3 linked regions of the Saccharomyces cerevisiae S288C genome follow. The main gene of each other region encodes a partner of the protein of the gene in region 3 in a complex. Each region holds a gene or a part of one and is shown on either strand. Other genes may lie near its edges.

What was found. Proteins that work in one complex are often made in the same cells at the same time.
Region 1: MRPS12 (region 3) and MRP4 share a complex: the UniProt entries of both Saccharomyces cerevisiae proteins name them as parts of the mitochondrial small ribosomal subunit.
Region 2: MRPS12 (region 3) and MRP2 share a complex: the UniProt entries of both Saccharomyces cerevisiae proteins name them as parts of the mitochondrial small ribosomal subunit.

What each region holds. Positions count from the first base shown.
Region 1 is NC_001140.6:97,281-100,903, reverse strand, and holds MRP4 (mitochondrial 37S ribosomal protein uS2m MRP4), read right to left. Parts: upstream 1,686-3,623; coding exon 501-1,685; downstream 1-500. Other genes in the region: sphingosine N-acyltransferase LAG1, read left to right, coding at 1-256; YHL005C (uncharacterized protein), read left to right, coding at 1,684-2,076; SHU1 (Shu1p), read left to right, coding at 2,109-2,561; mitogen-activated protein kinase kinase kinase kinase STE20, read left to right, coding at 2,967-3,623. UniProt on the Saccharomyces cerevisiae protein: Component of the mitochondrial ribosome (mitoribosome), a dedicated translation machinery responsible for the synthesis of mitochondrial genome-encoded proteins, including at least some of the essential transmembrane subunits of the mitochondrial respiratory chain.
Region 2 is NC_001148.4:875,782-878,353, forward strand, and holds MRP2 (mitochondrial 37S ribosomal protein uS14m MRP2), read right to left. Parts: upstream 849-2,572; coding exon 501-848; downstream 1-500. Other genes in the region: Rho family GTPase RHO1, read left to right, coding at 1-216; MET16 (phosphoadenylyl-sulfate reductase (thioredoxin)), read right to left, coding at 1,066-1,851; mediator complex subunit NUT2, read left to right, coding at 2,295-2,572. UniProt on the Saccharomyces cerevisiae protein: Component of the mitochondrial ribosome (mitoribosome), a dedicated translation machinery responsible for the synthesis of mitochondrial genome-encoded proteins, including at least some of the essential transmembrane subunits of the mitochondrial respiratory chain.
Region 3 is NC_001146.8:693,861-696,576, reverse strand, and holds MRPS12 (mitochondrial 37S ribosomal protein uS12m MRPS12), read left to right. Parts: upstream 1-1,754; coding exon 1,755-2,216; downstream 2,217-2,716. Other genes in the region: putative ATP-dependent RNA helicase DBP6, read right to left, coding at 1-982; mitochondrial 37S ribosomal protein uS19m RSM19, read left to right, coding at 1,250-1,525; ARC35 (Arc35p), read left to right, coding at 2,530-2,716. UniProt on the Saccharomyces cerevisiae protein: Component of the mitochondrial ribosome (mitoribosome), a dedicated translation machinery responsible for the synthesis of mitochondrial genome-encoded proteins, including at least some of the essential transmembrane subunits of the mitochondrial respiratory chain.

The DNA.
Region 1 (3,623 bases), on a different chromosome or scaffold from region 3:
GTCAGTCTTAACAGAATTCCGTCATGAAGGTAATTATGTGTTGAATTTTGCCACACAACAATACAAATGTTGGATTTCGTTGCCAATTGTATTTGTACTAATTGCTGCGTTACAATTAGTTAACCTGTATTGGCTGTTTTTAATTCTTAGAATCTTGTACAGATTGATATGGCAAGGTATCCAAAAGGACGAAAGAAGTGACAGTGATTCTGATGAGAGCGCTGAAAATGAAGAATCTAAGGAAAAGTGTGAATAAACGTATCTTAAGGAGAATACGTATCATCATATGATTTCCCCCCTGTATGAAGGCCAAGTTAACATGGTATAGCTCATAGTTGTTGTTATAAGAAGCATAAACCCAAGTACGAAAGTAATAATTCTGTAAAAAAAAAAAAAAATGCGTTTATTTAGCGTCTTCGGGTTGGCTATATATATATATTTAAGGATATATGGGCATATGTACAAGTTTAGGTTAACAAGCCAAAAGAAAATAAAAGTGTTCATTTTTCGTTATTTCTGGCCAAGCGATTTTGCAAGCCTCTTTGGCCAGCTCTCGCCAAGACTCCTAGTAAGAAATTGACAGATCTCAATGAATCATCGTTACCTGGGATAGGGTAGGTCACCAAAGAAGGTTCGGAGTCAGTATCGATGATTGCGATAGTTGGGACCCTTGATTTAATTGCTTCTAACAAAGCGTTTCTATTTTCTGTGGGATTTAATACGACCAGCAAGTCAGGCTTAACCTGCTTTGATGTTTCATTCGGTGATAACGCTCTTTCGGTGGGATTGTCATTAGAGTCGATTTCCTGCTTCTCCCAGATACCTGAAATTTCTGTAGAATTCGTCAAAGTACCCGGGATCCATCTGGTAGACACATAATAACCATGTGTCTTCTTAGCAGCTTCCTCGAGCCCTCTTTTCTGGCCTTGTCTTGTACCCAGAAATAGGATAATGCCACCGGATTCCGAAACGCCCTCTACTACCTTGGCGGCTCTCTTCAAATAGGACAAAGTTTGGTTTAGATCTATTATGTGAATACCTTTATATTCACCGTATATGTAGGATTGTGTGGAAGACCTCCAAAGTGAGGTAGACTGGCCCAAGTGAACACCAGCAGACATTAAGCTCTCAACAGTAATGTTTTCTGGGAGGGGCGGATAGAAAATGTCCTTATGAGGATAGTAAACCTTCGAAATAGTGGCACCCAATTTAGCGGTACGCATGGAATGGTTTAGTTGACGCAAGAAAAGTTCTTGAGAGGAATATGGTTTGTCATTGGCCGAAGGTATAAGGTTAGGGTAAGGCTTGGTTGGCGTGGCTGCTGCTGTCGTTGTAGAAGATTGTCCATCTAATGTCTTGCTGTCAAACAACTTGTTCAACAGAGCATAATTTCTGAAAAAGTCACTCAATTCAGCCTCCAGCTGCTGTTCTTTGTCAGAGAGTTTGTCTTGCTCTAATGACTTTTTCAACTCAGGTAATATTTCATCTTCTGGTACCTGAGATAGAGACTTCAATTCTGATCTAATTTCATCATACAAAAGTTTCTGTTGCAACAGCATCACCTCATCGTTATTGTTAGGGGTGTTGGCCGCACCGGATGCTGACGACTGAAACCTTTTGGTAAGGGAAGGGTTCCTCAATAAGGAAAGACGTCTGAAATTCCTCGCAAAAACGTGTCTCTGCATGAGAAAAGAGTCGTTTCTCACTTTTTATTTCTCGAATCACCTGTATTTGTGCCCCGCGATAATCAGGCTCTCGAGCGTATGTACACTTGCCAGAACTGATTATTATTTACCATCAAATATAGCAGTGACCTACGACATACAAATTTCATCTCTCGGATTCACTTACCGAATTGATTTTTTTCTTGCACTCTTTTCTGACCCGGCACGGCCTTTTCTTACCGAGATAAACAGGAAAATAGGGCAGTATGCGTGTGTTATACGTGAGAGAGAGCAAGCGGGTGAGTATTCGTTTCATTACAGTTTATGCATTAACATAAACGTATACATATTACACATACACATATACATAGATAGATACATATACGCATATATTAATGCTCAGGTGCAATAACGGGTGCAACAACAGCAGCAGCAGGATACAATATGCAGTTTGAAGAGCGGTTGCAACAGCTAGTAGAAAGCGATTGGAGCCTGGATCAGTCAAGCCCAAACGTACTGGTGATAGTCCTTGGAGACACTGCCAGGAAGTACGTAGAGTTAGGAGGACTGAAGGAGCACGTGACTACGAACACTGTGGCAGGTCACGTGGCAAGCCGGGAGCGGGTATCCGTAGTTTTTTTGGGCCGGGTAAAGTACTTATACATGTACCTCACCCGGATGCAAGCGCAGGCGAATGGTCCGCAATACTCTAATGTACTCGTCTATGGATTGTGGGATCTCACCGCGACACAAGATGGACCGCAACAGCTGCGGCTACTTAGCCTTGTGTTACGGCAGTGCCTCAGTCTGCCATCTAAAGTTGAATTCTATCCAGAACCGCCTTCTAGTAGCGTGCCTGCCCGGCTATTGCGATTCTGGGACCATATTATCAGATAGCTGCATTGTGTTACATGCGATATCGTAGAAGACGATAGAACGAAAAAGAAACGTTAATCTTTTTTTCCTTTTTTTTTCGATTAAAAAAAAAAAATTTTCGCCTCGTGGCCCGAAACACGGCCAAGAGAGGGAATTCGAAAGTCTACCGCTTTTGGCAGCTGAAAAATTCAGAAAGTCACCTGGCCAGAGAGGAAAAATACGAAACCAAAAAGAGGCATCCGTAAATTCGCATTAGCAACGCATGCTTACATAGATACTCACATACTACACACACTTACATACTTTCTTAAAGACATACATCCGTACGTACAATTAGAGCGAGGTAGCAAGCAACCCAAACTTCTTCCCTTCACTGCCTCACACCCCATCCTAAATATCCCACAAGATCCTCGACTAATACAAGAAATGAGCAATGATCCATCTGCTGTATCGGAACTACCAGACAAGGACAGTCTTGATAACGGTATCAGCAATGACAATGAAAGGGCCATGGGCGGCAATGGCGATGGCGGCGATGGATTACGATTACCAAGGACCACTGGAACTTTGAACGTCAATGCCTTACAAAAAGGCACTAATGCTGCCCATGAAGCTGGTGGATACAAATCCATGGATCCTGCGAAGAACGCGGAGACAACCAATGATGATGACAATAATGTCGTTTCACTAGATGATCCTATTCAATTTACCCGAGTATCTTCCTCCTCTGTCATCAGTGGAATGTCTTCATCCATGAGTCCTCATTCTAACATCGATGAAACCAAATCTCTAGAAGCAGTCACTCCAAACATAAATACCAGCAATATAACCCCGGATCATTCTGCTGACAACACATTTTCTACCATAAATGCGTCCGAGTCAGATCACCAGTTTAATGACACTTTACTATCAAAACTGTCGTTAACAGATTCTACAGAAACTATAGAAAATAACGCGACAGTGAAGCACCAGCAGCCAGTTGCATCTTCCACAGTAAACTCGAATAAGAGCTCCACTGATATACGAAGGGCTACACCAGTGTCCACTCCCGTTATCTCTAAACCATCGATGACAACCACGCCA
Region 2 (2,572 bases), on a different chromosome or scaffold from region 3:
GAAGGTCAACAACCCGTTACATCACAGGAGGGACAATCTGTAGCAGACCAGATTGGCGCAACCGGATACTACGAATGTTCGGCCAAGACTGGTTATGGTGTCAGAGAAGTGTTTGAGGCCGCCACTAGAGCTTCATTGATGGGTAAATCTAAAACGAATGGTAAAGCTAAGAAGAACACTACTGAAAAGAAGAAGAAGAAGTGTGTCTTGTTATAGGAGTGTCTCGATCTCTCAGTCGTTAACTTAGTGGCAGATACTGCCCTTTTTCAATCCCATTCCTTTTCTCATTGTATGTACGTATGCCTTTTTTTGTTATTTTAGCTCTAACTATAGCTACTTGTTTTTCTCCCAGTATGTGTATAATCTTATTCTTCTCTACATATAAGTGTATTGCTCAGTAAGTATTATCATCTATTAAAGAAGAATAAAAATTATCATGTATTTATTTACAAGTGCGTATCCTATATATATATATATATATACTTTCGCGATAAAATTTTTTACCAAATACCCTTCTTAACACCTGGCAAATTACCCTTCAGAGCGTTTTCTCTAAATTGATACCTACACAACCTAAAATCACTTAGAACAAATCTTGCATGTCCAGAGTCCACGCACCTATTTTTGATCTGCGTAGATCTCATGTAGTTTGGCAATGCATTTAGTTTTAACTGAGCCTCCAACCTCAGTTTTGTTGGAAGGTTCATATTTCTAGCGATGAATTTCAAAGATTTAACAAGGATTTCATTCTCTTTAAATTGTTGTCTTTTGAAGTTATCCCTAAGTATGCGAGCATTGATAAACCCTGGTGGTAGCTTGGTTTTTATAGGAAATCTGAAATTACCCATCGGTTAATGTATATATTTGTCAGTTTACCTTTTCTTTCGTTTTTCCTTTCAATCCTCTTTATCGCAGTTTGGTTCTTAGTTTGAATATTCCTCTGTTTTCGCTCTTTTCTCGTACAGCGCGAATTCTCCGCCAGCTTTAGAAAGTTGTAATCATTGGTGTTATTAAGGAATAAATAATTAGTCACATACATATGGTTATATATCGTACTCTATCTATCTAGGCATCTTGCTTTAAAAATTGCGCGAATCGGCTGGCTTCATGAATTCCACACTCGGTCTTGGCCTTGCCCTTCCATCTTCCTGCTCTCTCATCTTCACCTTCCTTGACGGGTTGTGTGGAATGGTAATCACCAATGGATCTATATCCAAGGTCCAAAAGTTCGTTGTATGGTACATTGTTTGCATCTATATACTGTTTAACCTGCTCGAACGTCCAATTGATCAATGGATTTATTTTTAAGATTCCATTAAGTTCGTCTATTTCAATAATCGACAGTTGGGAGCGGGCAGAACCTTGTGATTTTCTTCTACCAGTAAACACAGCACTTATATGTAGCTCTTTGTAGGCACGATGTGCAGGTTCCACTTTGGCCAGATAATCGTACTTGTCATCATCTTTCTCCCATAAGAAATCCCCGTATTTCGAGGCAAAATCTGCCTCCGATTCACATCCATCCGGCTTATATACGTGAATGGTTTGATTTTTAGGCTGGTAGTATTTTTTCTCAATCTCGTTTTTTAGTGTTAAAGTTTGTGGGAAATGGTGCAAAGTGTCTATAAATAATAGTTCTGGCATGTAGTATTTTTCAGATAGCTTTGACAACATATCGATAGTAACCAAGCCAGTCAAACCAAATGCAGTGGTTTGGAAAAGGTGAGGAAACGTTACGATAGACCATGCAATAATCTCCTGTGGCGTTTCCAGCTTGATTAGTTGTTCATTCCAATGATCCAACTGTTCTTGTGTGACAATTATATCATTATTCAAATGATAGGTCTTCATTTTATGAGTTGCTATGGGTTGATACCTTTGCTGGCCTTAGTTTTGATCTTAAAGCATTGAAAAGGTTACAAACAGTACAGTATACTTTTTTTATATCAATATAATACTATCTCTATGAGCTTTTACTTTGTCGAGATTTGCTGAGTCATGTTGTGGCTTTTCTTTTACTAGCCACGTGAAATGATGATAAAAATAAAAAGAATAACGACGGAATAAAGAACAGTATGATAAACCGTAAAGATATTTAGAATCAATAGGTGATGTCCACCCGGTAACAAGATGCCATTCATGTTAAACTAGGACAAATTTCCTTCTTGTCCCCCCACCATTCTCTTTTATCCAATTCTTTTGTCAGCGCGCATTAAAGAACAAGAACTTCGTACTTTTAACTACTAACTCCTGTTTGAGAAAGAGGCAAATATATAGAAAAATAAACCGATAAGATGAATGGAAACAGCACTAACAATGAACAATTGCAGCAAGAACTGGCCACTACTCAAGACCAAGTGGCTTCGATTATTGAGTCCTTCGTTGAATTAGGTGTCTCGATATATGATTTTCCTGGTACTCCAGAAGCCACCAAGGGAATGATCACCAACTTGCAAAGAAATGTGGATCGCTTGTACAAGCTGAACGTGAGAAGCAACGATCCTCAATCCAGCTTGTCTAAGGTGGACATTCCCTTGGAAGTTGTTCAATACATTGAGGACGGTAGAAATCC
Region 3 (2,716 bases):
TCATATTTAGATGATCTACTAATCTACCAGGTGTAGTGATTAAGATATCTGGTTCCAAATTTGATAATTTTTTGTGTTCGTCCTTCAAAGAATTTTCTAATTTGGCAATGCTCACAATAAGCGACGTCCCTTGAGTTAGCTTTGTCAACGTAGTATAAACTTGGTTTATCAATAGTTTTGTGGGGACGATGATTATACAACGCAGTCTGTTAATTTGTCTCTTGAAGAGGGTTTGAACAATAGGAATGGAGTAAGCCAAAGTTTTACCTGAACCGGTAGCAGCATTTACAAGAATATCACCGATTCTTCTGGTGAAGTTTCTCTTAGATACGTTCAACGTGAAGTTCAATACCGGTAATATGGAGTCTAGGATGATCGATTGGATGGGAAAAGTGTTTGTAGAGAAATTCTTGCAAATATTCTGCAGTAGTTTTGCTTCTAATTCATTTGCGTAATCCGAGAACGGTTTGATCAAGGAATTATCATAATATATCTTCTCAGTATTTAACCAACCCGTAGATTTGAACTGTAATGAATTTGTATTCAAATTCATTGGGTTTTTGACGAATTCAGGTTGAGGAATCTGTTTTAGTTGGTGAGTTGAGGCCGCCTCGTCTTCAATACCTTCGTCTTCCTTACTCTCAGCAATATCAGATGCACCTAGCCTTTCTTGCAATGATACTGTTTGCTTGAATCTCGATAGCACTGTGCTGTGAGTACTTGGCTTACTCTCTTCCTCTTCCACTTCACTCGAATCCTCTTCACTAGCCCCATAATCTACTTGCATACGGTCTTCGTCTTCCTCTGAACTAGAGTTGGAACTCTCATCAGAATCTTGGTGAGAGCCATATTCTTCATTATCAGATTCAGTAGCCTGCCTCTTTAAAGGCACAATGGCCGGGGGAGTAGTTCCGACGATTCCTTCTGGTGCGCTAGCTGCAGGAGCAGTCAATTGGCTAGGGTCAAATCTCGATGCAAACATTGTCACTACCGGTCACCAATGGTAAAGGTGTCCAGTTTCGAGCACATCTCATCGCCAGTTATGCTTTCTATATAATACAAATCTGCAATAATTTTTCAAATTTTAAGCATCACCCGGCATTAGCGTTTGGATCACTATTCACGGTTATGGCTGAGCAAGAAATGGCAATTGGAAGCGCCTAGTAAGAATCTAACCATGACTTAAAACGGTGAGGTTCATTGCAAGAGCAGTACAGCATCGGCAGAAGTAGTGTCCACCAAAAATAAAATGCAACCGGCAGCTAGACTTTTATCGCGGTCCGTATGGAAGGGCCCCAACATCGTGCCATTACCCATAAGGGAGGCCATGACTAAGGGCACTCCAATAAGAACAAACGCAAGGGCCGCCACCATCCTTCCTCAGTTCGTGGGACTGAAATTTCAAATACACAATGGTAAGGAGTACGTACCTATTGAAATATCAGAAGATATGGTGGGCCACAAACTGGGCGAGTTCGCACCTACCAGGAAGCGTTTCAGCTATACTCAAACCAAGAACAAATGAGGGATCTAGTGTATATAGATTTCTAGATGATATATCATGTAAATAAGATCAAGCCAGACTCGGGCTGTATATATATATATATATAGCATAATAAACAGTAATAGTGCTTTTAAAAGCATTTCAGTCTTACCCGAGCGACAAAACGATTTGGGGAGAAAAAACGCATATAACCAGGGAAAAGACGGAGAACTTACAGGTACACCAGAATTGAAGCAGGCCAACAAGAGCCATGTTGTCGAGGTTTATGTCCAACACATGGTGTACGCCCTTGAGACAGGCGCAGAGATTGTTTTCCTCCACTACGACAATGCAAGCGACATTGAATCAGATTAAAAGAGGCTCCGGGCCTCCAAGACGCAAGAAGATAAGTACAGCTCCACAACTGGATCAGTGTCCCCAGCGGAAGGGTGTCGTATTACGTGTAATGGTTTTAAAGCCCAAGAAGCCGAATTCTGCGCAGAGAAAGGCGTGCAGGGTCCGTTTGACTAACGGGAACGTGGTATCTGCATATATACCGGGTGAGGGCCACGATGCTCAAGAGCATTCGATTGTATATGTCAGAGGTGGGCGTTGTCAGGACTTGCCTGGTGTGAAGTACCATGTTATCAGAGGTGCTGGTGACCTGAGTGGTGTGGTAAACAGGATTTCTTCGAGGTCGAAATATGGAGCCAAGAAGCCAAGTAAATCGTGATGCGCAGTACGCTCTAAGTTTTCTTTGGCCTCTCGACTACTTTTCTCTAATATTCCCACTCCATACAACCTTTTGTAAATAGCAATGACCATACATATATATATATATATATATATATATGTATTCTCAGTATACGCAATCAATGCTTTGGTATATTTGGTGTATTTGGCATACTTACTCGTATAAAGCGATCTGAATTTTCAGACGCTTGTATTGACAAGAAATACTATAAGCATAGGGGCTAACTAGCGTTCAAAGGAACTAGTGTAGATACAAGACTAGCAATCTTCTTGCCTCAAAACGGTAATCCGCAATGCTACACTTACAACCACAAAACCTTCTCATCCAAAAGACACTGAATGAAGCGATAGAGGCACTTCGCAAGGGTTCGCCGTTGACCATGGACAGAATTGTTTCCGATTTCGACTATACCACCTACCACATTTCAAACACAGCAGAAGATAAGTCCATTCTGTTGTTGAGTGTTAAGACCAAAGCTT